Canis lupus familiaris: one gene and its partners. The protein of the gene in region 1 purifies or fractionates together with the protein of each later gene. This does not show direct contact. Links are inferred from orthologs where the notes say so. Each region holds a gene or a part of one and is shown in the gene's direction. Other genes may lie near its edges. The genes, in order: CSNK2A2, GPATCH2L, YAF2, EIF3J, NRP1, ZC3H4 and PIP4K2C.

Region 1 (3,965 bases):
ATCTTCCCTCCTTAACGCAGCCCCTTTTCCGCCGGCTGCCAGCATAGTGTGCACAGAGCACTAGGGGTACCATCTGAGGCATGGTTATTGTCCTCTGTCGCAGCAGTAAGCTGCCCCTTGGGAGATTGTATTCACGTGAAGCTGTCACAAATAATATGCTTGCGTTGGGAGGTTGGTAGACAGTGTGCTTACTTTTCTCTGTGCTTTCTTATCTAATAGGCTCTGGATTACTGCCACAGCAAGGGAATCATGCACAGGGATGTGAAACCTCACAATGTCATGATAGATCACCAACAGAAAAAGGTACCGTTGCAGCCAGGCAGCAACAAGGCTTTTCTTAAAAGGTCTAGGGCAGACCACAACTCTAGGTATTGACCTAGGAGGGACTGCAGACCAGTACTGTTTTCTTTGGCAGACTTGTGTTATTGTTATTTCTCCGGTCTCCAGTGTTGCTTTCTGCTCTGCATGAGCATGGTACACAAGGAAAGTAGACCCGTGAGCCTAACTGTAGTCCCTTGTTTATTTTGGTCATGGTTTTCCAGAGGGCCTCGCAAAGAAACTCCAGCAGATGGTTTGTACTTCTTTTAATGACCCTTAGACCAGTCTGCCTAGCCTTTACACTTGGGTCCCTCCTGTTTTTCATATCCAATTCTGGTTGTCTCTGATTGGTGAGTAAGTGATTCCACTACTGTGTGATTAATGAAAAGCTGGAGCAATGCTTCAATCCTGGGGTGGGGCCTGGGTCTCCAACCCTTTGTGTTGTGGCTTGAGCTTATGATGGGAGCTGTTAATAATGGGGGAATGTGTTATATGCAAGTAAAACAGAGGCAGAGTAAAAAGCTTAAGCTTGATTGATGGGAAGAGAATGATAAGCCAGGATAATTTAAATTAAAAAAAAAAAACAACAACAAATAAGATTCTGAAAGCTCTACTGTAGAGGTGACCTCTTCCACAGTTGCTGAAAGGGTAATTTTTGCCAGTGCACTGGCTAACATTTGTTATGTAGCGCACATATTGTCAGCTAACGTGATGTGGCCTTTTTCTAAGGCACAGGTGTCTAGAAACACTCCTTTACGGGTTTGATTTCTGTTGTGTTTGTAGCTGCGGCTCATAGACTGGGGTCTGGCAGAGTTCTACCACCCTGCTCAGGAGTACAATGTCCGTGTAGCATCGAGGTACTTCAAGGGACCGGAGCTCCTTGTGGACTATCAGGTACAACTCACGCCTCCTTTGTGTGTTTCCTTAGGGCTTCTCCTCGTGTGCTGTTTATTAAGTCAGTTTGGATACATTCAAAACCCCAGCCTGAAGCAGTCATTTCAGATTTTTCTCAGTGACTTTTTTTTTTTTCTTTGAATTCTAAAATATGTGCAAAGGTCAACTGAAGACTAGAAATCCAGATCAAAGAAATACATTTGCAACACCTTTCACTAACAGGCTGACCTTGTTTCCCCAGATGTACGATTACAGCTTGGACATGTGGAGTTTGGGCTGTATGTTAGCAAGCATGATCTTTCGAAAGGAGCCCTTCTTTCACGGACAGGACAACTATGACCAGGTGAGCAAACACTAACTGGCTCTTCCCCATGTGGGGGCACATGCCAAAGAAATGGGAGTCTGTTGACAGGGATGCTATCCTTGAGTCACTCAGTGTCTGCACTTAAGTTCTCCTTCAGGGTAAAGAGCTTCATGAGATTTTGTCTGTGGTTACTAGGTCCCCAAACATAGAGCCAGATAAAGCTATCTTACTAAGCTCCACGTATGCCCCACAGTGAGTCTGTGAAGAAGTCAGACACACCTTGTCTAACAACTAGCTTCTAGATTAGATTGTGATGCCCCCGTAATTGTCAGCTTCTGGAAGATTATTGTCTTAAGTTATTACCATTTTATTTTTGTTTTGTTTTTAATTTTTTTTTTTTTTATTTATTTATGATGGTCACACAGAGAGAGAGAGAGAGGCAGAGACATAGGCAGAGGGAGAAGCAGGCTCCATGCACTGGGAGCCTGATGTGGGATTCGATCCCCGGTCTCCAGGATCGCGCCCTGGGCCAAAGGCAGGCGCCAAACCGCTGCGCCACCCAGGGATCCCAGTTATTACCATTTTAAAGGGAGTTTGGAAATTTGCTTTCTGTGAACATCATTGGCCTTTGGTCTACCTCCTGTCAGCCCCGGGCTCCAATCTGCCTCTGGTCCCTGGAGATTCAGTGATGGAGAAGTCCTCTCATTTCTTGGGATAGCATCCTCACAGGCTTGCGGTGAGCTCTGTGCTCAGTAATTTGGTCAGTTTGTTTTGTGTTTCAGCTTGTTCGCATTGCCAAGGTTCTGGGTACAGATGAGCTGTATGGGTATCTGAAGAAGTATCACATAGACCTAGATCCGCACTTCAACGATATCCTGGGACAGTAAGTAAGAGAGAGGGAGAGAGAACGAGGGTTTTAACTAAACCCATTTCAGAAGAGGGAATATTCGCCGAAATCACTTGCTAATCATAGCAAAGTTGAAAATACCCTTCTTTTTTCTCATGTATGCTTTTTAAAACTTGTTTTGAGGTTTGGGCATTGTTTACATGTGTCTTCTGATCGTTGTACTTCTCCAAGAGATAACCTGTCAGTCCATAGAAAATAGGAGACAAAATCCTGTTACAGTGAAATGCTTTGCAGGACAGTGTATGCTTATTTTAATGGAAAATCTTAGAAAGCTGTGATTCTTCTTTGAGGAAGAGATTTATAGTTTTTTCTTGTTCTAGTTAACGGGTTTTCTACAAGGTGGCAAATTTTATTTTTTTTTAAGATCTTATTTATTTATTCATGATAGACATAGAGAGAGAGAGAGAGGCAGAGACACAGGCAGAGGGAGAAAAGCAGGCAGGCTCCATGCCAGGAGCCTGACGTGGGACTCGATCCCGGGACTCCAGGATCGCGCCCTGGGCCAAAGGCAGGCACCAAACCGCTGAGCCACCCAGGGATCCCCCCAACGTGGCAAATTTTAAAGCATATTTGCAGGTACAGTGTACTAGTGTTGAAAAGTAAATGCGTTGACAGTTCTCAGTGTTTTGTGGAGCCTCTGTTTCCAAGGCTAGCTCTCTAAATATTTTTGCTGCACAACAAAAATAACTCTGTCACCTCTGTGCCTCACCAGAATTGACTAAAAGCCTGATCCATAAGAAATGATCTAGGAAGGTGCCACAAATTCTAAATCAGATGTAGAAGCTTTAGTTCATTTTATCAGAGAGCATGTTTTTTGTTTCAAGATGCCTCAGATATTCCCGTGGAGGGTGGGGCAGACACCTGTGAGAATGAGATTTAATAAGTTTATAATCCTCCTGGGGTTCTAAGATTCTATTGGCTTTAACCATGGTAATGTCTGGATTCTTGTTGAATTGAATCTCAGTACCAGTGCTTCCCTTTCCTCCTCAGACATTCACGGAAACGCTGGGAAAACTTTATCCACAGTGAGAACAGACACCTCGTCAGCCCTGAGGCCCTAGATCTTCTGGACAAACTTCTGCGATACGACCATCAACAGAGACTGACCGCCAAAGAGGCCATGGAGCATCCCTACTTCTGTGAGTCTCCAGGGACCATTTGCAGGGGCCTGATTTATTAAAGGAATAAGTCTCCTGTTCTTTATCTTTGAGGCCAGTCAGGAGAATTCTAGGTGTTTGGATTGAATCATCCTTGGAATTTGGCCTCATTCATTCTGGACTATTGAGACAGCTCTTGCAGTTCCTTTTCTTGATCTGCAGAGGTGTTTGCTTGTCCACTGCCATAGCTCCCCTTGAGTCTGGTCTGCAGACCGTTCCCTGTGGCCCTGGGCTGAGAGATCACAAATATCTGAACTTTGTTTTCGGATATATCTGTGTGGAAACCTAATCAAACATGTTTTTTTCCCGTGAAAAAAACAAAGTAGTTGGTTAAAAGTAATAAGATGACCATAGTATATTTTTAAAGAAGGAAATGAGTTAAATT
Region 2 (3,965 bases), on another chromosome or scaffold:
TTATAGAGTACCTTTCCTGTGCTACTTCATCGAGTCTTCAGATCAGCTATGTAAGATAGGACTGAGCAAGTGATTATCCCACCTTTGTAGGTGAGGATGCCTAGGTCAGAGGTAAAGACACACCTATGATCATACTGCAAGGCATGATAATAATAAATCCTTGGCAAATAGACTAGTGATACTAGCTTAAGGGTCAGTCTAGTAAGATCCTGGGGAGGAAGGCCTTTGGTATACTAGAGGCATATCATCACTAAGGAGTCTTCTGCATTCTGTTTCTGAGGACTTTCTTTTTTTTTAGGGTACCATGCCCGCTTGAATCGTCTGCCTGGAGCTGCAGCTCGATGCCTCAGAAAGGGCCGAAGAAGGCTTGCTGGGAAGGTAACTGCTCTCACTGTCTACTGGGCTCACTGGGAAGACAGTATTTTCCCTTTGGGATTTGTGTACCTTGATAATCAAAGGTGCTGCAGAACTCCCCTGGAGTAAATGAAGCCAACTGAAATATTTTTCAAGTTCATAAGAATGAACCTTATATAGGATATAAATGGTACACACATAAAAGATGAAGCTTAACTCATACAGAAGTTTTGACAAAGCAAACACTGTTATGACAGTTTGTCTATAAATCTACAGGCCTGATCTTGTCTCTTCTACTCTTTTGATTAATCTTATAACATTATTGTAGAAGTTAAAATACTCTTGGCTTCTTTATAACTCCTCCTGAATTCATGAATGCTTCTTCTGTCCTAACTTTGATTCTAGAATTCGTTAAAAAAAAAAACAAAACTGGAAAGAAAACCTCAGATTTCACAGCTTCTCCTTGGCCATGAGGGAGGAATTTCTACCACTTACGCAGTTCTGCCTTTGCCCAGCGGCTCTGCTTTACACCCAGTTCATTTAATCCTTCCAACAACCTTGTAGAAGAGTTGATGTTTCCACTTAGCAGATGAGGAAAACTTGGGTTCAAAGAAGCTATGTAAATGGAAGTAGCAGAAGAGAGAATTGAACTCAGTTGTACTTTTATCTTTTCTAATTTAAATTTTAAAAATTATTTTTAGAAAAAGATTATTATTTATTTGAGAGAGAGTGAGAGAGAGCATGAGTGGGGGGAGGGGTAGAAGGAGAGGGATAAGCAGGCTCCCCACTGATCAGGGAGCCCCACGCAGGGCTCAGTCTTAGTACCCTGGGATCATGACCTGAGCTGAAGGCAGACATTTAACTGACTGACCCACCCAGGTACTCCTAAAAATTATTTTAATTAACTTTTACTCTAGCTTTGAGATTGAAGGTAAGTTGAGCCTGGGGCTCATACCTAGTTAGAGAAAATGGTGGTGAGCAAAAGGCAAGGGAGTGAGAGGCATCTCAGAACATTAATTCGTTCACTGCATAAATATTTAGAATGCCTACCAAGTGTCAGGCTCTGTGCCAGGCTAGGTACAAGTGATCACAGCCACAGCCTGGCTACCCTCAGGGAGCTACTGTTCTGTAGTTGAAATAGAGAACTGTTTATTTCCAGGTGAACGGAGATATTTTTAATCTTTAAATTCAATTTCAAATCTCTTAATTAGAAAAACATTTGATTATTGGAAGAACGATATCTTCTTCTTTTGGCTCACTGATTTCTCAGACAAGAAAATGCTCCTTTTGCTGTTCTGGGAGCTTATTCTTAGTTAATAGGACAGCTAATAGGGTAGGAGTACATGAGGTGGAGGGAGGCAGGAGGTTGGGAGTAGGAAGCAGAGAGATGGTTTTATTTTTTCTGTGTATTAGTTAGGCTTGAAAGATAATGTTTTACCTACTATCTACCTTACTTTGTTTCAGCTCCTATAAGAGCCTTCCATTTCCAGAGAAGTAAATCAGTTCATCTTGAAGGCTTCCTTTAGCTTGCCTGAAAGGAAACTCTAGGGCCTATTGGATGTGCCTCTAAGAATTTCAAATGAATAGGATAATATTTACTTGTTTAATTCATCTTCATCACCTTAAAGGGATATTTGTCATTTCTAGCAGAGGTCAATGTTCTGCCCCCCTACTTCCCCCTCCCCCACCTCTCTGCTCTTTTTCTAAATTGTAATCATAAATAATGAGTTTCATTCACAGCTCTCTGCCAGCGAGCTGCTAATTACGCAAAGTACTGCTTGTAATTTACACAGTAATAAACTGTAAATTTAAACATTACGGCACTTTAAGTTAATAATTTTCTGCAGTAACAAATAGCTCATTTTTCACCCATCCTTTCCCTTGGCCCCACTACTATGGCTATGTCTGTGACCAGGAGGTATGTGTGTAAGGGATGAAGAATGTGAAGAATACAGTATGTGAAGCCTTTTCATTTAGCTCCACTCCCGCCCAGAATCTGACCTCGCATCAATTTTTCTAGAGTCAGTTCTGCTAAAATGTGTAACCCTAATATTTTAGGCTAATCCGCACACATAAATGAATACCGATCATAATGTTTGCCCAGTAACAAATGTAACAGGCTTGACATTCACGCCCATGACTTATCCTCTCTCATCTTATCACTTAACTCATATGTGTATAACTCTTATTCATGTACTATCAGCGCACTTCCCCAGGTACAGTCATAGGCATTCATTGTAAATGTACTCAAGTTAAATGAAGGGTGAGTGCCTTGTGCCAGTTTTTAATTTTTTTGGAGGTGATTAGTTTCTGATTTGCTTGTGGTGTTACGGGTAAGATTTCATATTATAGTCTTAAGAACCCTAAATTTAAGGACCAATTTGTACAAACATCTGTTTTACTCTAAGAGATGATGCTTAACAGACAAGATAGGGTAACAGTTTTTTTTAAGTTACAAAATTCCTTTAATATGTGTACATTTAGTTAGCAGATTTTAGGTGTTACCAGTGAGGACTGGGTAAATTTCCCATCATGATGGTTTTTGGGGCTGTAATCATATGATCTGAGGGAGTTTGGTGTGCAGCCTGTTAAAAATCAGCTGTTGTTGGATTTTTAAAAGTTGTTTTTTCTACTATATACTTTAATAACTCACTGTATTAAAATGCTATATAATATAGTAAACAAGGTTTGTAATGACTTTTTTTGGAACACTGGAGAAAAGTCTAGAATAACCTTTTAAAATAGATTCCCATAAAAAGAAATAAACTTGCTGTTGGGTTTTAAGATTGACATTTGACATGTGCCTTTGAGGTTGCTGGCAGTTTTGGGAAAGTGTGAACTTGATGACAGATCATACTTTGTTTGTTTCTGTGGTTAGATGACATGCTTGTCTTCTTGCCATTGCAGGAGACCAGCATAAGTACTGAGAGGATAGGCCACATCATTAGTGACCCTCGGCAGAAGGAGTAAGTGCTTATATATTTATGCATTATCCTAGCCCATTCCTTAGAGTAGGAAGCAGAGGGAAGTTTTATGAACGAACGTAGAAATCTGACTTTAGAGCTGATTGAGAAAATCTTACAGATTTGTACTTCACAACAGTTAACATGGCTAACACACTAAACTCATGAGAGAGATTCTTTTTTTCCTTTCTAGACTAGTTTTTATTTCTTTGCTGTTTATATGTACAGGTGATTGCATTTTAAAAGTAGCCTCCAATTAGGATGTCACTACTTATATATTTATATTGAGGTGAATTTGGCATATAACATTACATAAGTTTCAGGTGTACAGCATTGTAATTTTCAGTATTTTTATCCACCTCAAAGTGATCATCACCATAAATCTAAGTACCATCCATCAGCTTGAAATGGAGCCCTTTCAACCACCCCTCAACCCCCTTCCACTCTGATAACTACCAATCCATTTCCTATGTGTTTTGTTTTGTTTTATTCTTTCATTTGTTTTTAGATCCCACATATAAATGATATCATACAGTATCTGTCTTCTCTCTCTGATTTATTCATTTAACCTAAACCCTCAGGGTTCATCCATGTTGTCACAAATGGCAAGATTTCCTTCCTTTTTTTAATGACTGAATAGTATTCCAT
Region 3 (4,528 bases), on another chromosome or scaffold:
TGAAGAGGTTGAGAATCACAGAAATGAAGCCCAATTTCCAAGGTCCATCAGCGGAGGAACCGGGAAAGTCGGCTGAAAACCCGGGACTCCTGACTTCACTAGTCCCTTTATAGTACATTCAGATTCTTTCAGTTATTAGGGTTACTATTGCACAGAATTCGGACTCGCTGTGAACCGAGAGAGATGGGTAGAGACAGTACAAACGGAGAGAAGAGGGAAATATGCAGAAGGAAGCCACACACCTAGGCGAAGGAAGAGTTTTGGGGACTCAATACAAGAGTTTCATCCGCTGTCTTCGCCAGGAGGCAGCTTTTCTGATGGGGGGTGGGTGGGAGGAGGGAGTCGGATAGGGAGAGGGAGGTAGGGAGAAAGTGGAAATTCTTGAATGCCAGGCTCTGGAGTCTGAGAGCCTTTAGCGAACTGCTAGATCGGATGGTGGCCTAACGTCGTCTGCATTTTATTTTCAATCTGGTTGCAGATTACCTAATAGATTGAGGAAGTAGAGCTGGAGCTTCGCGGGGCCAGGTCGACGCATCCGGTATGTGGAGGCAACGAGGCTCGGGAGAGACGTGTTCCTTTCTCAGTCAGCAGCCTCCAGGGAATATGTAAACTCGTTATTTAAAAAAAAAAAAAAAAAAAAAAAGAGAGAGGGAGAGAGAAAGAAAAAGGGTTTATGAGTTTTTTTTTTAAAGCCATTGTAAATAGTGGTGGGGGGGGGGGCAAAAGGATGCATTTGGAATTAAAACCAAGGTTAAAGTCCTGCCTTTGTCATCTTCTCATTATATAATAATACGGGGGAGGTCACCTCACCTCTCTCGGGCCTCGGTTTCGTTTCCTCTAATTTAAGGGCGACGATACCTTCTGGGCAGAGATTCGCGTGCAGAGAAATTGGGATCTCAAGTCCCCGCCCTCCCCCCCCTTAAGGCCCGCGCTCGGGCTGGTTCCCGCCTTCCCCCAGGTGAGCCCCCGGGCGGGGCCGGGCGCGCGGCCCTACCTGAGGAGGCGGCCGGGCTGTCCTCCCGAGCGGGGCGGCCGTCGTCCCGCGGGCTGGCGGGGCGGCGGCGGCAGCACAGCAGCAGCAGCAGCGGCGGCGGCTCCACCTCCTCCTCTTCCTCCTCCTCCGGGAGCCGCCGCCAGCTCGGGCCGTGAGGGGTCACGCGGCGGCCCCGGCGGGGAGGCTGCGGCGGCGGCCGCCCCCGCCGACCGGCCGCGGGCGCTGGGCCGCGCTGGCCGCGTTTGAAGTCTCCGGCGCCGCCGCTGATTGGCCGGCGCGGGTCACGTGCGCCCAGGCAGGAGTTTCCCCGACAGCTGGAGGCTGCGTGGGCTCCGGCGGCGGCGGCGGCGGCGGCGGCGGCGGCGGCTCCCGAGCTCGGCGCTGCGGCCTTCCCCGCCCCCTCCTCCCTCCCTCCTCCTCCTCCTCCTCCTCCTCCTCCTCCTCCTCCCCCGCCCGCTTCCGCCCCGGCTTATTATCCTCCTTATTGACAAACAGAGCGGCGGCGGCGGCGGCGAGCTCGGCGTGCGTCGGTAGCCAAGCCATGGGAGACAAGAAGAGCCCCACCAGGTAACGGGGCCCGGGCGGTGCGCAGGCGGCGGGGCCCGAGCGCCGGGCTTCCCCGGCTCGCTCGCCGCCCGGGCTGCGGGGCCACACCGGGGGCGGCGCCGCTGCCGCTGCCGCTGCCGCTGCCGCGTGTGAGGGGCCGGCGCCGGCCGCCCCACAATGGAGCCGCGATGGCGGCGGCCGCGGGTGTCAGAGCGGCGGCGACTGCGGCCGCGCCCTCCCCCTCGCTGGCTTCCCTCGGGCTCGGGGAGGCGCGGGGCGCGGGGGCCGCGGGGGGCCGCGGGGGGCCGCGGGGTCGCGGGCCTGGGGCGGGCGGGGGCGGGGCGGGGCGCGAGCGCCGGGCGCGGCCTGCCGGTGACCCCGCGCCGCGTCGTGTCCGGGTTGTGTCCTGCAGGCCGAAGCGGCAGCCGAAGCCGTCCTCGGATGAGGGCTACTGGGACTGTAGCGTCTGCACCTTCCGGAACAGCGCCGAGGCCTTCAAGTGCATGATGTGCGATGTGCGGAAGGGCACCTCCACCCGGTGAGTCGCGGGCCTGCCCGGCGCGCCGTCGCCGCCCCCGCCCCTGCGGAGGCCGCCCCTCCCGTGACACCGCAGCCCCGGCGGGAGCGAGGTGGCGGCCGCGACAGGAACTGGGTCACGTTGATCGCGCCCCGAGCCGCGGTTTGCGGCGAGCGGTAATTGAAGAGGCCGGAACGTTACTTTGCTGCCAAGAGAGAATAAATTATTTAAGGCGAGGCATTAGCTCCTGCGATGTAATTCGTATCGCTGGGTGTGATGCCCCCCCCCCCCCCGCCGGCCTCCCATTCCGGGTATAATAATGTTGGCTGCATTGTTGTGTTAGTGTGTAGGAATCAAAGAGAGAGAGAGAAAAAAAAAAAACAAATACCATGAAACACTCTGGAGAAAGCAAAAGGTAGAATTTAATTTCGTTCTTCCAAAAAAAAAAAAAAAAGAAAGAAAAGAAAGAAAAAGTATTTGATTCTAGGAATCAAAGGGGGAAAAAAAAAACCAACCATGAAACACTGGAGAAAGCAAAAGGTAGAATTTAATTTCGTTCTTCAAAAAAAAAAAAAAAAAAAAAAAAAGAAAAAGTATTTGATTCTAGGAATCAAAGGGGGAAAAAAAAAAAAACCAACCATGAGACACTCTGGAGAAAGCAAAAGGTAGAATTTAATTTCGTTCTTCCAAAAAAAAAGAAAAGAAAGAAAAAGTATTTGATTCTAGGAATCAAAGGGGGAAAAAAAAAAAAACCAACCATGAGACACTCTGGAGAAAGCAAAAGGTAGAATTTAATTTCGTTCTTCCAAAAGCAAAGAAAGAAAAAGTATTTGATTCTAGAATACACAATAGGTTGAACTTCCTGTATTTTATATATAGATGTCTGGAACGGTTAGATCAACGTTTCGGTTAGTATTTTTAACCTTATTCTCTAAGATTTTATAAATAGTTGGAGGTGAGCCCGGTCACAGGGACACATTTTTTTTGTTTTTTTACTGAAAGTATCTTGAGTATTTTTAGTTTGATGAAATGGCAATCTATTAGGCTATACAAATGAGATGAAATGATCTCTGCCTATTTTCAGTTTTTATTTTATTGTAGGCCTACAGTATAATAGCTCAGTCTTTAAAAAAACAAACCACTTAGTGGATTAAGTGGATAAAGAAAATCATACAGGAAATTCAAAGTCTGACGTTCTTGATCTGCCAACGCTTCGTTACAGAGTTCCTTCCACTTTATAGGAAAGTAGCCTTGGAATTTATTGTAAGCATGGGATTTATAGCTAATATTTAGATATCATGTGCCTTGATATTAAAAAATAGTCTGTTAGAAACTCAAGGGTATAGGTATACTGATGTGATAGACTGTTGCTTTAAAAAAGGCCTATTTGGTATTGACATTAGATTTATATATTCGGTAGAAGTTAGAATCCTAAAAACGAGATAACCAGGTTTTAAAACACCATTTACAACAATTTATGACTTTTTTTTTTAAAGATAGAGGCAGAATGGTTGGAAATAAATTTTAAGATTTGCTTAGTTAGAAGCTAGCTGCATTTCACATACTTGTCTTTTCATGGATCCTAATATGCTTTTTACATATTAAATCTCATTTACATTGGATAAAATATGTAGAGCATTTTTCATGATATCCTTTAAGAAGCAAACTTTAAAATGTCTAAATTCAAGAAATAGAATAGACCATTAAAAAAAAAAAAAAGCACCTATTTGCTAAAGTGAACATGGCAACAATTTTTGGACCCGTGCTTTAAGTATTTTGAAAAGTAGAATATCTTTATTTTTTTATATAAGGTTGGATTTGGTTTAGAATATATTTGTATATCTATGTTAGTACGTTGTGCTTCTTAAAACACTCAAGCAATTTTCAGAAAATGTGGTTTTTCCAGGCAGGGACTTTTAAAGTGGAGACAATTATTTTATAATCTTAATCTCTGGTACGATGTTGTTGCTTTTTGTTGTTCCCTCTCTATTTTCTTGTAGCCATTAGAAAAAATACTGAAACTAGAAGAGCCTATATGTTTATTTGCAGGGACAGCAAGGAAGGGGGGAAGCTGTTGTCCTACTCCACAGCCAGTCTTGGGGTTAGAGGAACCCTGAGAAAATAGAGTAGGTGGTGGCAGCTCAGAAGAGAAGAAACAGGCTGAATACCTGGCACCTGGAAGAAGAAGGAATATAGTGCACAGGGGAGTTGGCCCCGGACAGAGAAGTGGGCCTAGTGTAAAAGAGGCTTCAGGCCCATATGGGGGCCCCTGATATTTTTTTACCAGTACATCTGAGCTCTTGTAGATCCAGTTTTTTTAGTGGTGGAAACATTACTTGAGGAGGACTCAGAGAAGCATTGTCATTTGGATTGAAACTGAAGAGGCTCTGGGCAACTCACCAGAAGTCTAAGGGACACTCTGTTCCTAAAAGTAAGTGTTCTACACTACGACCCTCTCAGCTTCTTCCTTC
Region 4 (4,487 bases), on another chromosome or scaffold:
CCCTTTGCCTGTGTCTCTGCCTCTCTCTCTCTCTGTGACTATCATAAATAAATTAATAAAAATTAAAAAAATAAATAAACTTTAAAAAATTGTGTATTTGTAGACTTCCTGAAAGGATAGTAAGAAACAAGGAACGGCTGTTCCTAGAAAGAATCGAAAGGCTGGTTATTGTATATGCTCTTTAATAACTTGAATTTTATATCATGTAGATATATTACACATTCAGACATAAATTAATTTAACAAAAGGAAAGCCAAAATATCTGGAACTGTTCCCCTCTTAATACCCTGCAGTGGAGCCCAGGGGCCCAAAGGGCAGAGAGCAGCCCAGCTGAAACCCTTTATTTTGATTAGTCTCCCTTTTCAGCTTATCTCCGACTGTGCCAGTCGGGTCGAGGACCGGAGCATTCCTTCCACCGGAAAGGTACTGAAACACATTTCACTCGGTCTTTCAAATTCCGGATTCCGTGGTAGTTGCCCCGGGAAGCCTTTCTTTTTTTTTTTTTTTTTTTTTTTTTATGATAGTCACAGAGAGAAAGAGAGAGGCAGAGACATAGGCAGAGGGAGAAGCAGGCTCCGTGCACCGGGAGCCCGACGTGGGATTCGATCCCGGGTCTCCAGGATCGCGCACCTGGGCCAAAGGCAGGCGCCAAACCGCTGCGCCACCCAGGGATCCCCCGGGAAGCCTTTCAAGCATCCTCCCGCTACCCGTGCCGGGCAGCCGTTCAAGTTACCTTTTTACATTTAACCTCATAATGCTTTTGTTGTTGTTGTCGTTGCAGTCATCACACTGTGTCGAAATTTTGTTTACATGTCTGTCTTTGCTACTCGATCGTGCGCTCGTTGAGGACAAGGCTAGAGGTTAGGCCTGGCGCAGGCCAGGTTCCGAAATTACTCTGCCAAAGAATCGTGTGCTGGCTTCAAGGGGCTCCCAAGCAGGGACAATCCTCGAGTTCTGGGGCCCTCTTCGATCCCTTCGTGACTACCTAGAAGCAAACGTGCCCGGAGCTGAATTCGAGCACCCAGGCCGGGAAGGCGGCCCGGAGCGCGGCCCCGTGCACTCGCTCCTCCCCGGCGCCGGGCCGCGCTGGCTTCCAGAGACGTGCTCTCCGCCGGGGCGCGGTGCGGCGCCCGCTGCGAGGGTCGGGTCGCGGCCGCCGGCCCACCGCCCCCACGGGCGGGCGTGGCGTTCACCGCCCGCGACCGAAAGGAACACGCGGAGGGGCTGGAGTTGGCAGGGGAGGACCCGCGAGGGCCGGCGGGGGCCAAGCGCCAGGCAAGGGGCCGCCCTCCTAATTCCTCGCACTGTTTCCTCCCCGGGGCCCGGCCGGGGGCACCGTCTCCGGGCCGCTTCCTCTCCTCCCGCGCCACTGCCTCCGACACCACCCTCTCCCCCTCGGGCTCACCCTCCCGCCGCCGCCAGCGCCCGCCGCCGCCTTCCACGCCCCTCTCCGCCCGCGCGCGCGTCGCCCCGCCACCTCCTCCAGAGAGGGCGGGGCCTGGGCCCCGGCGCACAGTCAGCCACGGTCCCAGCCTGCCCCGCGCCGGCCAACGAGAGCAAAGCCAGTGACTCACCTCCGCCGCGCTAACTCCTCGCTAGCTCTGCCCTCACACACGCTCACGCCCGGTTCGAGATGGCGGCGGCGGCGGCGGCGGCGGCGGGGGACTCTGATTCCTGGGGTGAGGAGAAGTTGCGGGGGCAGGGCCTGGGCCGGCGCTGGCCTCAAGCCGAAGCAGGCGCTAACGCGGCTCGCTCTCTTCCGTAGACGCGGACACGTTCTCCGTGGAAGACCCGGTGCGGAAGGTGGGGGGCGGCGGCACCGCCGGCGGGGACCGCTGGGAAGGCGAGGACGAGGACGAGGACGTCAAGGTGGGTGCGGGCCGGGGCTCCCGGCGGCGCGGGAGCGGACTGGCGCTGTCGCGGGCGGGGATGCCCGTCGACAGGCGGGCGGGTGGACTCTGGGCCCAGGGGCGCCGCCCGGGCCTGCGGGGCTGCGGGTCCAGACGCCAGCGTCGGGCTTCCCGCTGCCCTTCTCTCCTCGGCTCGCCAGCCATATGGGCCGAAGTCTAGCAGCGTGGCCTTTTGGACTTCCTCGCAGAGGGCGGTGGCGGCCCCGGCCCCGGCCCCGGCCCCTCTTAAGGGTCTGCGCCCCGGCCCGGAGCCCATCCGCCAACTGGCGACGGGAGGTGACAGCAGCAGCAGGGCCCGGCCCACGTGCAAACTTCGCGGTCTGGAGCCGCTCGCCGGAAGGATCCGGGAAGTCGGGGGTTGAGCCCCACGGTGTATCCCATATGGAAAGTCTTGCAACCCACCTGCCTTTTTGAGCTCAGATCTTCCCGGGGCAGTAACTCATTTATGTTTCCAAAGGCCCATTTGTAGAGTGTGTTTGAGCAGTTAGATGAATGAAATACTGTGGTTTAATTTCAGTCTTTTTTTTTTTTTAAACACAAGACCAATAGAAGCAGTAAAGTGAAATAACTTTAGGCTTCCCTCCCCCGCCCTGTGGTAAAGAGATGAACCGAGTACTGAGATAACCAGGAGTTACTGGCCAGAAACCTAGGTAGTCCACCCAGCGACCTGGAAATGGACAGTTGATAGAGTTATTTATCTACATACAAATGATTCCTAAGGAAATACTGGTTGGAATAGACGAGGGGCCGGTGTTTTTCCCCTGTGCTTTGTTGATCTAAACCAGATGTACATTTTGTTTTTGAAAACTCCTGGGGACTTATCAAATGGCTTCAGATGACAGTATGACTAGTGTATTTGTTTTTAAGTAGCTAACACCTCTCAACCCCAGAATGTTAAGATTCTTATTAACAGAACTCTCAAAATCTTTATATATTGGTGCAGATAAAGTTTTGTATGAATTGAGAAAAAAGTTTCTTTTGGTTTTGATTCAATTAGTGTATGTTTTTCACTTTCCTAATTTCTACCCTTCAATACATGTTGGGAACCCTGTTCAGTCCTGCTCGGGTTGAAAAAATTTAAGCTAGACAATCACTATGAGCTTAATACTACTTTTGTTTGGATTTTACCTTTTTCTCCTCAGAGTCATTATAATGAGATAGATTTATGTTCCAGTTTATGGAACAGCTTGAGGTTCAGGGAGAATGTGAGCTTTGCATACATTGAGATTAATAAATGAGTAGTACTCTTGTGAAGATACTTAAATGCTGTATTTACATGTTGTATATATATGGGAATGGATTGTGTATCAGTCTCATTGCAAGGTATTAGTTACTTCCCTGAATTGTCTTGGACTTTCTGTTTTGAGCCTTCAGTTCAGATTTGTCCTTTGACTTTTTGTATGCTTACTGGATGCAGCAGTTAGGACATCTGTTCTGAAAATTGGGAATGATTTAGCAAATGAGAAGAAAAGATGGGATAAATCAGGAAAGAAGTACCAGAAAATGAAGTAACTAAGTTTGAGATTTACAGGTGCTAAGAGACCATAAAGGTCATCTTCTCCAGTCACTCTTTCAGTGCAGATTCTTTTCTTTTATTCAAATATCTTATTTCTTTTACATAAACATTGAAGTTGATCTTGGAGAAAAACTCAACTTGTCCATTTTATTTCTGAGTTGAAATGTTGGTTTCTTTTGAATTTCTTCAAGATTCCCAGGTTATGGTATTCATGGAGTAGTTTGATTCTTAGGTTTGGAATCAGACAGACATGGGTGTGCATTATATTGCCTTGACATTTTCTCTATTTGTGGTCACAAACAAGTTTTTTAATCTTTCCTTTTAGTTTCCCAGTCTAAGTTTTCATTATAGGAGATAACTTCGGGGGGTTGTTTTACATTTTATTTACTTAGGGTACGGAGAGGGAGAATCTTTTTTTTTTTTTAATATTTTATTTATTTATTCATGAGAGACACAGAGACAGAGAGAGGCAGAGACACAGGCAGAGAAAAAACAGGCTCCATGCAGGGAGCCCAATGTGGGACTCGATCCCAGGACTCCAGGATCACGCCCTGAGCTGAAGGCAGGCACTCAACCGCTGAGCCACCCAGGCATCCCGGACAGAGAGAATCTTAAGCAGGTTCCACACCCATTGTGGAGTCTGAGGCACAGGGCTTGATCTCACAACCCTGAGATTATGATCTGAGCCAAAATCGAGTCCAACACCAACTGAGCCACCCAGGCACCCCTATTTTGCACCTTAAATGATTAAATGTCTAGCATTAAGCAGAGTTGCTTAGCACTTCTGAGGCACTCAGTTAATGTTAATACTCTCTCTCTCTCTTTTTTTTTTTTTTTAAAGATTTTATTATTCATGAGAGAGACACACACACACACAGAGAGGCAGAGACATAGGTAGAGGGAGAAGCAGGTTCCATGCAGGGAGCCCAATGTGGGACTTGATCCCGGGACTCCGGGATCATGCCCTGAGCTGAAGGCAGATGCTTAACCGTTGAGCCACCCAGGCATCCCAGTGTTAATACTCTTACTTGAGATGTAGTCTTAATTTTTCTGGCTAAAGG
Region 5 (4,407 bases), about 54 Mb from region 1:
CACACACGCCGGTTCCCAGGTGCAGTGACCTTTTCACCTTCCCCACAAACTCCTCGAGGGGGGCCGCTACGGGACGTGCCGCCTCAAGGGCCAGACCTGTGGCCGAAACCGGTTTGTCCCCGGATGCGTGTCTGCTATCCCTATCCACGGAGGCCTCCCGCAGCGGTTCCCGGAAAGCCCTGGGCGGGGGGGCTGGGGTCCCGCGGCCCACGGTGCGGCCGCGCGGGCGGGGGGTGGGGGTAGGCGCCGGGTGCCCGGCGTGACGGCCGCCTGGCCCGGGGCGCGCGCCGAGTGAGCCCTGCCGAGGGCCTCTGCCTCGCACTGTGCCCCCGCCCCGAGGAGCACCGCAGAGGGGCGCCCGGACCCCTGATCGCAAGCCCCCCTCCCCCAGCACCTGGGCTCGGTGGAGAACGAGGCTGGGCGGGGCGGGGCGACGGCCGCCCCCCAGCGGGAGGGCGCACCCCACGGCCCTCGGGCGCTCCTCCGTCCCAGAGGGGCGGGCGCCTCATCTGGGTTAACAATGGGGCCCCCGCAGGGCGCCGGGCACCCGAGCACGACTGGCGGCCGGCCGCGCGCCCAGCAGCGGAGCCGGGGGGCCGAGCGCGGCCGCAGCCCAGCGGCGCCGGCGCCGGAGCGAGTGGCCCGGTGGGCTCGACGCGGCAGCGACAGCGACAGCGACAGCGACAGCGACAGCGTCGGCCCTTGGCCGGCCCCGCGCGGCGCCTCCCGCTCCAGCCCGGCTCCCCCGGGTCTCCCCGGCCCTGCCCCGAGCGTCGGGGGCGCCTGCCGCTCTCTGGCCCGGGCCGACCCCGCTCCTCGCCGCGGCCGGCAGGGCTGGGAGTCGCGAGAAGCAGCGGCCGCCTCCGGGGCGGGATCCCGGAGAGACACCCCCGGCGAGCTGCGGCTCTCCCCGCGGGGCCCGGAGCGAGCAGGCGGGCGGCGGGAGGCTCGCCCGACCCGGCGGCTGGCGCGGACCTCGACGCCCCCCCCCCCCGCCCCGCGCACACACACACACACGCGCGCACACACACGCGCACACACACGCGCCCCGGGCGCAGGCTCCCAACGCCCCCTCCCCGCGGGGATCCTTCAGGGCCTCCGGGAGAGACGGACAGAAGGACGGGAAAAGCACACGGAGGGAAACTTGTTCCTCCCAGTCTCCTGTCAGGCAGTTATTGGCGAGCCCGTGAGGCAGAGGGGAGGGCGGAAGCGAGGGAAGGGCTCCAGGAGGGGCGGGGGAGGCGGGGGGGGGGGCGGAGGCGCAGGCGGGGGTGCAGTTGCTGAAAGTCCTGTCTCCCGCTCATCTTTCCGTTGCTCGCTCCTCTCCTTCGCGCAGACACCCCGGACCTCCCCTGGGCGCCAGCTCCTCGGCTCCAACCGGTCCAGAAACAAGCTTTTTTTTTTTTTTTTTTTTTCCTTTCTGGAAATTGGCTTTGGTGTGTTTCCCCACCTCCCTTCTCCTCCCCCGTCGGGCCCCCCCCCCTTTTTTTTTGAGACATGGCCCGGGCAGTGGCTCCTGGAAGAGGAACAAGTGTGGGAAAAGAGAGAGGAAACCGGAGCTAAATGACAGGATGCAGGCGACTTGAGACACAAAAAGAGAAGCGTTTCTCTCGGATCCAGGCACTGCCTCGCTGCTCCCTTCTCTCCGAGCCGGACCGAGGATTTCGCGGCTCGAGGCGGAGCTGCGGCCGGCGGAGCGTGTGCATCGGCCCCTGCGCTACTTGCCCGCGCGTCCTCTGCCCGGGTGCGTGCCCGGGCCCGGCGGAGGGAGCATGGAGCGGGGGCCGCCGCTGCTGAGCGCCGCGCTGGCCGTGGCCGTGGCCGTCGCCCTGGCCGGCGCTTTCCGCAACGGTAAGTGACGGGCGGAGGCGCGCGTGCGGGCGCCGCGCCCGGGCTCCCGGGCTCCCGGGCTCCCGGGCTCCCGGGCTCCCGGGCTCCCGGGCTCCCGGCGGGGCTGCGGGCTCCGGCCCCCGCGCTGCCCGCCGGCCGCCGCCGTCCGGGCCCGGGAAACCGTCGTCCGGGGAGAGGAACAGAGAGACCAGACCCGTCGGCGGGGCAGGCGGACGCCGAGGCCGCCGCCTCGCTCCTGGACTTGGTGGCCTGGTGACGGGGCTTCCCCTGCCTCGGTTCCAAGGCAGAGCTGCCTGCCTTCCCAGATCAGCACCACCAATTATCTCAATAATGTTTCCTCCCAAAGGCAATTAGATGAGACTCCCTCTCAAAAATTTGATGGCTGCGGAAAGTTAATGAACGCTTTACCGGGAGAACTTCCTGGTTCTTTTGCAGCTCTTCGACACCGCTTCCTCTGCTGGGTGCTGCGGCCGACGGCGGGTTTTTGATTGTGGGAACTCCCTCCCTCGCCTTTGCAAATCGCCCCTAATCTGCCTGAAGTATGAATGAAAGTTACACACTGTCAATAAAGGAATCTGATATATACAGTGTAAGACACCGGGATTTCTGAAAATCCCTAACCTAGCAGCTTCCACTTAGCTTTTAAAACCACTCGAGGCTACCAGGTTATAAACAGTATCCCTTAACCTAAATAATGTATTTTAAAGCGTGATCTGCTTGTAGGCATGTTTAACTTACACTTTAAAGTGGGTGAAGGCAAGGGTAGGAAATTATCTTAACAGTAAGTCTTCAGCAATTATTAACTAATTATCAAATATTTACTTTTGTCTGGCTTAGATTTCAATCAAAGTAATTAGGAGAAAAGAACACCCACTACTTACTGTGGTATATTGTTTTAATAAGAGACCACAAGTGGAGGGGTTCATACCAAGAGGAATTTAAATCATGCCTTTATGATGGAAGTTAATCTCTATAATATGCTTTTTGGAGGTTTGGTGACTGAAGCAATAGATTTCCCCTAACAGCTACCAAGCAGTGTTCCAACAGATACGCTTAGGAGGCAGCGCGCGCGTGCACATACACATTCACACACACGCACACACACACACACACACACACACACAACTGTGAATGTGGACTTCAATTTATTAATGAACCTGAGTTGGTGGCATCTCGGTACGATCTGGCAAGGGATGAAATAACATTCTCCTCCAATTGAAAGAGGTCAAGTGGTTAGGCTTTAGAAGTTATAGTAACCCAGCCTCTGCCCTCTACAACTGCAGAGATTAAATCCGTAGTAGAGATGTACACAAGATAGATTTGAAACCTAATGCAAATAGCTTCCAGACTGTAGGTAGTGAACTTCACATACATATGTGTGTGTATATGAATGTATACAAACGTGCGTGAATATATATGAAATACATTTTTAAATTTTCTTAGCAGAAATCTGGAAAATGCTGAGAACCTGAGCCTCAGTCTGTGAGCTTGACTGGTTAAAACCATGTTGCTCTGCTTGCAGTGACCAGAGCCAGTAAATGCCTCTGTAACACAGCAGACCTCTTAAAGCCATGTCCACCTCCTTGCAGTACCAGTGTCTGCTAAATTAATTCATTAACCTTATTTAGGTCTAATGGTCCAGAGTCATTAGAAATTGCTCTTTCTTAATCAACTGTTAGAGAGATTTAACAGAGCCAGGGAGTCTAGCAGTCCACATTATCTTATTACACTGTCACTTTCTCAGAAGTCACAGATTAAAGAGCTCTGGTGTGGTACCAAGTCCACCTAAATGTCTTCTGAAGTGACTCTGTGGAGTGACTGGAAGCAGTGCTGTTTTATTTCACTCCTCTAACGGATGCCAGACACTGCCATGATGTTTGTATAGAGCTGGAGGAGACTTAATGAGATGGGGTCACTTTCCAAGTTTTCTGCACATTTAAAATAATGGAAGAGCCTCAGTGGAATCACGTAACAGAGTCCAGTATGATCGTTAGTTGAGATTCCAAACTCCAGTTGCAACATTTCTTCTTGGCAAAACCTTAAGCTTTTAAAAGCCCAGGCAAAGGAAACCAAGCATAAGGGTACCCCCAGTCTAGGAAACATGGTCAGAAACATCCAGCAATTGAGAAAAACAATATGATTTATATTGTCTTCTTTTTAATTTATGGGAAATGATTTCTGTAATGCATGTAGCTTTATGCATTTTTGATGTGCACTTCATCTTTCATTTCCATTTGACCTGGTTTTCCTGTAATAAAATTCTGTAGATTTATAAATTCATGCTGAGAGCAAAGAATGCCATTCTCTTTCCACAGGGAATCTATTAGATGCAATATTAAAATCTATATATACCATTACTGAAAATTTGTGATTGATAGGCTTATATATTTCACTGCTTTCATACCTATTCCTCTTACATAGTTCATGCACCAAATTTTTATTGCTTAAAATTAAGCATCAATAAATGTGGCAGCATTTCAGGCTGAGACTCTCCAGCATGAAATCCATAATAAAAAGTGACAATGAGAATCTACACTGAACAATAAAGCAGCCCAG
Region 6 (3,965 bases), on another chromosome or scaffold:
TTTTTTTTAATGAGTAAAAGGAAACATTAATTTTAACAGTATATTTTATGTATCTAACACATTCAGAATCTTAATTTTAACACATTATCCAGACAGACAAATGTAGTGTTTTATATTCTCTAACTTTTTTTTTTAATCTGAGTCCTGTAAATCCAGTGGTGGTTCATCCTCCAGCATCTCTTAGTCTGGTCATGTTCCGGGGACTCCATAGCCATGTGTGGCTAGTAGTCCCTGTATTGGACATTTGAGTGCACCTACAGTGGCCAGGTGCCCCTGTGGCAGTATAGCCAGTGAGCATCCAGAATGCTGAGGCCTGAGGACCACTAGTTTTTTTTTTTTTTTTTTTTTTTTTTTAATTTATTTATGATAGTCACACAGAGAGAGAGAGGCAGAGACACAGGCAGAGACACAGGCAGAGGGAGAAGCGGGCTCCATGCACCGGGAGCCCGACGTGGGACTCGATCCCGGGTCTCCAGGATCGCGCCCTGGGCCAAAGGCAGGCACCAAACCGCTGCGCCATCCAGGGATCCCCTGAGGACCACTAGCGAGGGCATGTAGGGGCGATGGGACAAGCTACCTGGAGCTGCTAAGAAGGCTTGAGGAGGAGGAAGAGGACATGACTGACATCAGGGACAGAAAATGGGCTCACGTCTCTCTTGCTGATGAGATCTCCCACTCGGGGCACTTACCGTCTGAATTACCCTGCAGGCAGCCGAGGCCGTGGCAGAGGCTACCGGGGTCGAGGCAGTCGTGGAGGGTCTCGAGGCCGAGGCATGGGCAGAGGCAGCCGCGGAAGGGGCAGAGGCTCCGTGGGAGACCACCCCGAGGATGAAGAAGACTTCTATGAGGAAGAAATGGAAGTAAGCTCTTCTCCAGCCCCGGAGGAGTGGCGGCAGGGAACATGGGAGGTTGATGGGCACTTTTTGGGAGCTGCCTATACAGACCACAGTGGAAGGGAGGGTGTTGGACAGCAGGGCTGTGTCTCAACATTCATTTCTTATTTTGAAATAGAGGAAACCTTCATGCAGTTCAAAATTGAAAAAGTGCCAAAGCTGTGAAAACATCTCCCTCCCCTTCTACCCCCAGCAACTTCATTCCCATCTCCAAAGACAAGTTTCCTGAGTGTCTCCTAGAAAAAGTTTTAGGCCTAGGGGCACCTGGGTGGCTCAGTTGGTTAAGCATCTGCCTTCAACTCAAGTCATGGTCTTGAGATCCTGGGACCAAGCCCTATTTTGGTCTCCCTGCTCAGCGGGGGAGCCTATTTATCCCTCTCTTCTCTCTCAAATAAATAAAATCCTAAAAAAGAAGTTTTAGGTCTTTACAGTCAGGTGCTTATTTATTCATGCCCCCCTGCACACACACACAGCTTCCACATTGATTGCTCTGTCCCCGCCCAAGACCTTTCTATGCCAGTATGCAGTGAGTCTGCTCTTTGTTACAACCACACAGCTGTCCATTGTGTAGGAGGCTCCCTGTTGGATTTGCCCCCGGAATTGGGAGTTGTAGGAGTGAAGAGCTTGAGGGAGAGGATTAGAACCACCCCCCACCTCCCCCTCCCCCTCCCAGTTTTGGCTGTGGTCTGTGAAGAGAGGGCACAGGCAGGTCACCCTGAGTTGTTCACTGGCCCTTCTGAGTCTCATGTTGACCTGCATAAACAAAAAGACAGGGGCAGAAAGTACAGTTAGGGACAGTGTTCATCGTTCCCCACGTGACACTCGCCTTTTCTCCTCTTTTCTGGAATCCCAGTATGGAGAAAGTGAGGAACCAATGGGAGATGAGGATTATGACGAATACTCCAAGGAGCTGAACCAGTACCGCCGGTCCAAGGATGGCCGAGGACGAGGTGGGCAGAGGGCCCTGGAGGTGACGGGTCGGTGGGGCTCCTTTGGGCAGCTGCTGGGTTTGGATCCTGGGGAGAAACAGCAGGTGAATGCCATTTCTCTGCAGGGTTAAGTCGAGGCCGTGGTCGGGGTTCCCGAGGTCGAGGGAAAGGGATGGGCCGGGGTCGTGGTCGAGGTGGCAGCCGAGGAGGGATGAACAAGGGCGGAATGAACGATGATGAAGACTTCTATGACGAGGACATGGGCGTGAGTTGACTCTTCATTTGGATTTGATAGGTTTGGCCAAGGCCTCCTTCCTGGATTTTTTTTTCTCAAATGAGTTGGCCTCTAGCCAATGCTGTCCAGCTTTCATTAGCTGTTCTCTGTGGGGCCGTTGAGCACTAAACATCTCTGGGGGTGGGGGGCTGGGCTGCTGGTGAGACCCTCTGTTTTTGAAACCACATCTCTATAGCACCTGAGTCTATGAGGTGGGGAAGGTTCCAGGTGACTCATCCAGGTAGCCTGGAGAGTTTGACAGAAGACGCGCATATTGCCTTTAGGAGGAGAATGTGTTCTGTATGGTTATGTGGTACTCTTCAGTTGCCAGCAACTCCATGTGCCAGAGCTTTTCCTGTGTGAGCGCCAGCACTCCATACCATGGGGCTAAGACCCCACGTGGCCTTGGTGCTGGTGGTAACGTGCTGGCCACTACTCTTGCTACGTGAAGATTCTTCTGTCGAGGGAATGTTCATCCTCAGTGGCCACCTTCTGTTACAGTCCCTCAGAACCTGTCTGCCAGTCTCCATCACCCCCTCCCCAACCCCTCCTTCTCCTTGCCCTTTATGCTCACACACTGTGTTCCTAATAGGATGGTGGTGGGAGCTACCGGAGGAGTGACCATGACAAGCCCCACCAGCAGTCTGACAAGAAAGGCAAAGTCATCTGCAAATACTTCGTGGAGGGGCGGTGTACGTGGGTAAGGGGCCAGTTAAAGTACCTGGGCGTGGGAGCAGGGCAGCAACCTCCCAGAGGATGCTCAGGCTTCTGGGAACGTTCTACAGGCTATGCTAATTGGGGGCCATGGCCTGGTAAGGGTGGGATTGACTGACTACCAAGAAATGCTTGGGAAGACTCTGTTCTCTTGTCTTCTCAGAGAGACTGAGGAGCCAGAGTGTGATAACACATTTGTGGCTTGTTTTTTGGTGTTTTGTTTTTCTTGGTTTGGGGGCCAGAATTTTCAGCCAGTCCAAATGGCCTCAAACGTATTAAGATTGATACCGATATAAAGATGTAATATGTCCTGGTTGAGTTATTGATCTTTAATGATGTCGGAGAGGGAATTATTAAGATTTCCAGATAGAGGAGGAGGTGGAGTGAATCAGGCCAGCCTTGAATTGCACAGCAGCATTCAGTACCAGAAGATAAGCTAATGACCATAGAGTTCTGAGGGCATAACCCTGTATGAGTTCAGCCAGCCACCTTCTTATTCAAATACGATGGCAGTGGACAGATACTGGTGCACATGTGCTCAGGGAATATTGTACCCCAGTATAGGCTTTAGAGAAAAATAAATATTTCAGACCAATATATGTGTGTGTGTGTGTGTGTGTGTGTAAAATATTCCTTATACAATCTCAACTTATGTTCTTTTCAGAAGCTTATAATAAATCCGTAGAAAGATAAGTAGCCATTCATGAGAGTAAGGGGAGATAGCTATCCCGAACGGTTTCTCTATTTTGTTCACTCGGGTGTGTGTTCTGAGTGTGTCTGACTGTGGATGATGTTAAAATTGAGCTCCAATAGTGTAAATGTTCAGACGTCGTCCCTCTGAAGGAGGTTGGTACCCTGGTCACTGGTACTCTGGGGAGACTCCTTCCACTTCAGGAATGTCCACCATCTTTGAGCATGTGGCTTTTGTCCTCATGGTTCCATAGTGGCCGCTGAGCCTCTGGGTATCCTCCCGTCTACGGGCTAAGAGGAAAGATGGGTGAAGGGGTGTTTGTTTTGAGTCAGCATTGTCCTCCCTGGGGACTTTGGCCTACATTTCATTGACCAGGACTTCCAGAGAGGCTGGGGAATGTACTTTTTCAGCTGGGGGCACATTCTTCCCAAACAAAACGGAGGTTAGGTTAGGAAGGAAGAAGC
Region 7 (3,965 bases), on another chromosome or scaffold:
ATAAGCCATCATGCAAACATTTTTACTATGGGAACTTAGCCCACCAGGAAATGTTAGTCTAGGTAAAATCATTTCGTGGTAAACAGATGTAATCTCTAATCCTGGTTCTGTGACCACTTGTACTTGAAGAGTTTAGGGATGCCTGGGTGGCTCAACGGTTGAGCACCTGCCTTTGGCTCGGGTTGTAATCCTGGGGTCCTGGGATCGAGTCCTGCAGTGGGCTCCCCACGACAAGCCTGCTTCCCCCTCTACCTATGTCTCTGCCCCTCTCTCTCCCTCATGAATAAATGAATAAAATCTTTTTTAAAAAAATAGAGAGAGGGACACCTGGGTGGCTCAGTGGTTGAATGTCTGTATTTGACTCAGGGCCTGATCCTAGAGTCCTGGGATTGAGTCCCGCATCGGGCTTCCTGCATGGAGCCTGCTTCTCCTTGCCTGTGTCTCTGCCTCTCTGTGTGTCTTTCATAAATAAATAAAATCTTAAAAAAAAAAAAAAATAGGGAGTCTAGTGGCTCTTGGGTGACTCAGTTGATTGAGCATCCGACTCTTGATTTTGGCTCAGGTCATGGTCTCTGTCTTGAGATTGAGCTGGGCTCCATGCTCAGCAGGGAGTCTACTTGCCCCTCTCCCTCTGCCCCCTACCTGTGCACGCGTGCATGCTCTCTCACTCTCTCTCTCTCTCTCTCATAAATCTTTAGGGGATCCCTGGGTAGTGCAGCGGTTTGGCGCCTGCCTTTGGCCCAGGGCGTGATCCTGGAGACCCGGGATCGAATCCCACGTTGGGCTCCCGGAGCATGGAGCCTGCTTCTCCCTCTGCCTGTGTTTCTGCCTCTCTCTCTCTGTGTGTGTGACTATCATAAATAAATAAAAATTAAAAAAAATAAATAAAAGCTTTAATATAAAGAGACATTATACAAATGGAATAAATCAGGAGATGGGGATTCAGAAACTTCATGGATACCACAGATGCCTTTAACAAGTCTCCACCACTTTTTTTTTTTAAGATTTTATTTATTTATTTGAGAGAGAGCATTCATGCAGGGGTACGCCTGGGGGTGGGGGTGGGGCAAGGCAGAGGAAGAGGAAGAGAGAAAGAATCCCAGCTGGGCTCCATGCTCTGCAGGGCTCAATCCCACAACCTTGAGATCATGACCTAAGTGGAAACCAAGAATCAGATGCTCAACTGACTGAGCCACCCAGGCGCTCCCCACTCACACTTTTGACCTTGTAATCTCTCTACTTGAAGTTGTCTGCCCTACTCTGGAATGGTGGTGTTTGAATTCCCATCCCTGGGCTGGTTGTGCATTTACTCCTCAGCTTCTCCCCATTCCTTCCTCCCTTCTACCCCAGTACATTGTGAAGTGCCATGGCAACACACTGCTGCCCCAGTTCCTGGGGATGTATCGAGTTAGCGTGGACAATGAAGACAGCTACGTGCTTGTGATGCGCAACATGTTTAGCCACCGTCTTCCTGTGCACAGGAAGTATGACCTCAAGGTAAGGAGAGGCTAGCTGAGGGAGAGGCTCCTGATAGCCTGAGAGTGGGGAAGGGCCTGGGAGGGCACTGAGATGGTTCATTTCAAAGGAAAGAAGACTGTGGGTGTGAATATTCCTCTTAGGAGCTGGATCCTAACTTCTTTTAGCCACTTCTGCTGACTTGGTCTTTGGGTCTCTCCACAGGGCTCCCTAGTGTCCCGAGAAGCCAGCGATAAGGAAAAGGTGATACTAATTTTAGGTGACAGGGTGAGGGATGAGGGAGGGCAGATAAAGGGATCTCCTTAGGATAGAGGTAGGGATCACCAGCTATTTCGTCTTATCTTAAACCACCAAAAAGAAGAGAGGTGTAAACTTGTGCTGATGCTGGGATTAAGTGTTTGGAATGGGCAGCAGGAGCAGCTGCTTTCTCACTGGCATGGGTTAGGCCATGTGGAAGGTGTGGCTATGGATAAAGACAAACTTTGAGAGCGAAATGCTTACTCTCTACCCCCCGCTCTGGGTTCTTGTATTCAGGTGGCTATTTTCTGCTTAAGAAGAATGAAAGGCGGTATGTGAGGTCTTGACTGGAAACCATAAGCAGACGGTAGTGGGATGTGATTTGGGGTACCGCTGCAGTGACTGAGTTTGGAGAAGCCACAAGAGCGGAGAACGGCCTCTGGGCAGCATGGCAGTGTGCAGTTAGAGGAGCTGTGAGATCTCTCTCCCCTCAAGGCCACTGAGTTACAGAGAGCCCTAGGAAGAGAGCATGGTTCTCTGAGACCTTGAGGGAAGGGCTGTATTCCCAAGATTCCCCTTACCTATTTTCAGGTTAAAGAATTGCCCACCCTTAAGGATATGGATTTTCTCAACAAGAACCAGAAGGTTTATATTGGTGAAGAGGAGAAGAAAGTATTTCTAGAGAAGCTAAAGAGAGATGTGGAGGTGATGATCGGGGTGCTTTGGGAAATGGCTGTTTCCTGTTGCTCCCCCCCGGGGCAGCTGTCTCTCCCGTTCCCTTTATTCTTTGGGTTTTCTGCATGTAGGGGAGTTGGGTATGGGACATAAAAAACCCTTAGAGGTGACCCATGGAGGGGATGGCTAGAATTGACTAAAAGGATGACCTCAGGTACCAGGACATTGATGTACTAAAGGGCAGTGGTATACTCCCAACCCTTGATTTTCATCCTTCCTTTCCCCAGGAGGGCCCCTGAAGCTCAGAGGGGAGGTATAAGGGTGGTGTGGTGCTGGGAGCAGGGAAGGAGATCTGAGGTATCTGATTTGTCAGTGGGGTCTCAGTTCCTAGTGCAGCTGAAGATCATGGACTACAGCCTTCTGCTGGGCATCCACGACATCGTTCGGGGCTCTGACCCAGAGGAGGAGGGACCTGTGCGGGAGGAGGAGTCAGAGGGGGATGGAGACTGTGACCTGACAGGGCCACCTGCTCTGGTGGGCTCCTATGGCACCTCCCCTGAGGGTATTGGCGGCTACATCCATTCTCACCGGCCCCTGGGCCCTGGAGAATTTGAGTCCCTCATTGACGTCTATGCCATCCGGAGTGCTGAGGGTGAGAGAAATCCTGGAAATATTAAGGGTGTTGGTGGTGGGGAGGGTTGGCCTTGGGGGAGTGAGGGGACTGAGACCAGCCAGGGTGGTGGGAGAGAGGCCAGTTAGCTTTTCAAAACAGATCTGACTGGTTCTTGGGAAGAGGGAATTGGGACTATACTTGCTCTTCCTCGCTTTCTTTCCCCAGGGGCCCCCCAGAAGGAGGTGTATTTCATGGGCCTCATTGACATCCTGACACAGTATGATGCCAAGAAGAAAGCAGCTCACGCAGCCAAAACTGTCAAGCACGGGGTGAGGGCTCCCCAAATCCTTTCCTATCTTTTGACTGGGAACAGAGGGAGCCTTTTGTACGGGAGCAATGGGGTGGCAAAAGGACGAAGGGCTGGGAAGGGCTGGGTGCGGAAGTGGTGTGGGGAGGACTGGAGGCTGCGGAGTGGGATGGGGTGGTGGGGTGCCTGACGCTGTGTTCCTACCTCCTCTCGCAGGCTGGGGCAGAGATCTCCACTGTCCATCCTGAGCAGTATGCTAAGCGGTTCCTGGATTTTATTACCAACATTTTTGCCTAAGAGACTACCAGACTCCGTGCTGCTTTATGTTCAAGGTGGCAGGGTTCCGAGAGGCTTGGGGAGCTGTGGATATGTTGACCACTACTACTTCTCTTCCTCTTTTGTTAAATTCCAGCTACAGGCTCCTTCTACCCACACAACTCCATCTTGTTGACTAGGCTTTTCCTGACCCTCAGAAATACACTGTCCTGTCCCCCCCTCCCCACCCGCCCACTTTTCTTCCATTTCTCCCTCCCTTCCAGCAATTCTGCTTGCTTCATTAGAGTGTTACTGTTGACTCACTCCCAAGTGCCTTGATCTTTGTAAATGTCCTGTTGTTTCTAGAACATAGGAGGAGATGGGGGAAGGGGATTACTTGCC

Evidence for each region.
Region 2: the proteins of CSNK2A2 (region 1) and GPATCH2L purify together in Homo sapiens (affinity purification with mass spectrometry; 5 studies listed by BioGRID and IntAct, counting the BioPlex papers as one, with this or other methods). This does not show direct contact. The link is inferred for Canis lupus familiaris from reciprocal best matches to the Homo sapiens genes CSNK2A2 and GPATCH2L.
Region 3: the proteins of CSNK2A2 (region 1) and YAF2 purify together in Homo sapiens (affinity purification with mass spectrometry; 9 studies listed by BioGRID and IntAct, counting the BioPlex papers as one, with this or other methods). This does not show direct contact. The link is inferred for Canis lupus familiaris from reciprocal best matches to the Homo sapiens genes CSNK2A2 and YAF2.
Region 4: the proteins of CSNK2A2 (region 1) and EIF3J purify together in Homo sapiens (affinity purification with mass spectrometry; 5 studies listed by BioGRID and IntAct, counting the BioPlex papers as one, with this or other methods). This does not show direct contact. The link is inferred for Canis lupus familiaris from reciprocal best matches to the Homo sapiens genes CSNK2A2 and EIF3J.
Region 5: the proteins of CSNK2A2 (region 1) and NRP1 purify together in Homo sapiens (affinity purification with mass spectrometry; 5 studies listed by BioGRID and IntAct, counting the BioPlex papers as one, with this or other methods). This does not show direct contact. The link is inferred for Canis lupus familiaris from reciprocal best matches to the Homo sapiens genes CSNK2A2 and NRP1.
Region 6: the proteins of CSNK2A2 (region 1) and ZC3H4 purify together in Homo sapiens (affinity purification with mass spectrometry; 3 studies listed by BioGRID and IntAct, with this or other methods). This does not show direct contact. The link is inferred for Canis lupus familiaris from reciprocal best matches to the Homo sapiens genes CSNK2A2 and ZC3H4.
Region 7: the proteins of CSNK2A2 (region 1) and PIP4K2C purify together in Homo sapiens (affinity purification with mass spectrometry; 3 studies listed by BioGRID and IntAct, with this or other methods). This does not show direct contact. The link is inferred for Canis lupus familiaris from reciprocal best matches to the Homo sapiens genes CSNK2A2 and PIP4K2C.

The regions. Positions count from the first base shown.
Region 1 is NC_049223.1:57,697,591-57,701,555, forward strand, and holds part of CSNK2A2 (casein kinase II subunit alpha'), read left to right. Parts: intron 1-219; coding exon 220-303; intron 304-1,101; coding exon 1,102-1,212; intron 1,213-1,453; coding exon 1,454-1,555; intron 1,556-2,298; coding exon 2,299-2,399; intron 2,400-3,413; coding exon 3,414-3,562; intron 3,563-3,965.
Region 2 is NC_049229.1:49,439,833-49,443,797, forward strand, and holds part of GPATCH2L (G patch domain-containing protein 2-like), read left to right. Parts: intron 1-298; coding exon 299-378; intron 379-3,261; coding exon 3,262-3,320; intron 3,321-3,965.
Region 3 is NC_049248.1:34,870,508-34,875,035, reverse strand, and holds the start of YAF2 (YY1-associated factor 2), read left to right. Parts: upstream 1-1,402; 5' UTR 1,403-1,535; coding exon 1,536-1,561; intron 1,562-1,952; coding exon 1,953-2,078; intron 2,079-4,528. UniProt on the Homo sapiens protein: Binds to MYC and inhibits MYC-mediated transactivation. Also binds to MYCN and enhances MYCN-dependent transcriptional activation. Increases calpain 2-mediated proteolysis of YY1 in vitro.
Region 4 is NC_049251.1:11,491,911-11,496,397, forward strand, and holds the start of EIF3J (eukaryotic translation initiation factor 3 subunit J), read left to right. Parts: upstream 1-1,517; 5' UTR 1,518-1,633; coding exon 1,634-1,679; intron 1,680-1,765; coding exon 1,766-1,869; intron 1,870-4,487. UniProt on the Homo sapiens protein: Component of the eukaryotic translation initiation factor 3 (eIF-3) complex, which is required for several steps in the initiation of protein synthesis.
Region 5 is NC_049223.1:3,641,538-3,645,944, forward strand, and holds the start of NRP1 (neuropilin-1), read left to right. Parts: upstream 1-1,256; 5' UTR 1,257-1,772; coding exon 1,773-1,851; intron 1,852-4,407. UniProt on the Homo sapiens protein: Cell-surface receptor involved in the development of the cardiovascular system, in angiogenesis, in the formation of certain neuronal circuits and in organogenesis outside the nervous system. Mediates the chemorepulsant activity of semaphorins.
Region 6 is NC_049222.1:109,581,962-109,585,926, forward strand, and holds part of ZC3H4 (zinc finger CCCH domain-containing protein 4), read left to right. Parts: intron 1-708; coding exon 709-860; intron 861-1,746; coding exon 1,747-1,843; intron 1,844-1,947; coding exon 1,948-2,087; intron 2,088-2,688; coding exon 2,689-2,796; intron 2,797-3,965. UniProt on the Homo sapiens protein: RNA-binding protein that suppresses transcription of long non-coding RNAs (lncRNAs). LncRNAs are defined as transcripts more than 200 nucleotides that are not translated into protein.
Region 7 is NC_049231.1:2,029,658-2,033,622, forward strand, and holds part of PIP4K2C (phosphatidylinositol 5-phosphate 4-kinase type-2 gamma), read left to right. Parts: intron 1-1,350; coding exon 1,351-1,497; intron 1,498-1,680; coding exon 1,681-1,719; intron 1,720-2,304; coding exon 2,305-2,418; intron 2,419-2,772; coding exon 2,773-3,040; intron 3,041-3,226; coding exon 3,227-3,330; intron 3,331-3,524; coding exon 3,525-3,605; 3' UTR 3,606-3,965. UniProt on the Homo sapiens protein: Phosphatidylinositol 5-phosphate 4-kinase with low enzymatic activity. May be a GTP sensor, has higher GTP-dependent kinase activity than ATP-dependent kinase activity. PIP4Ks negatively regulate insulin signaling through a catalytic-independent mechanism.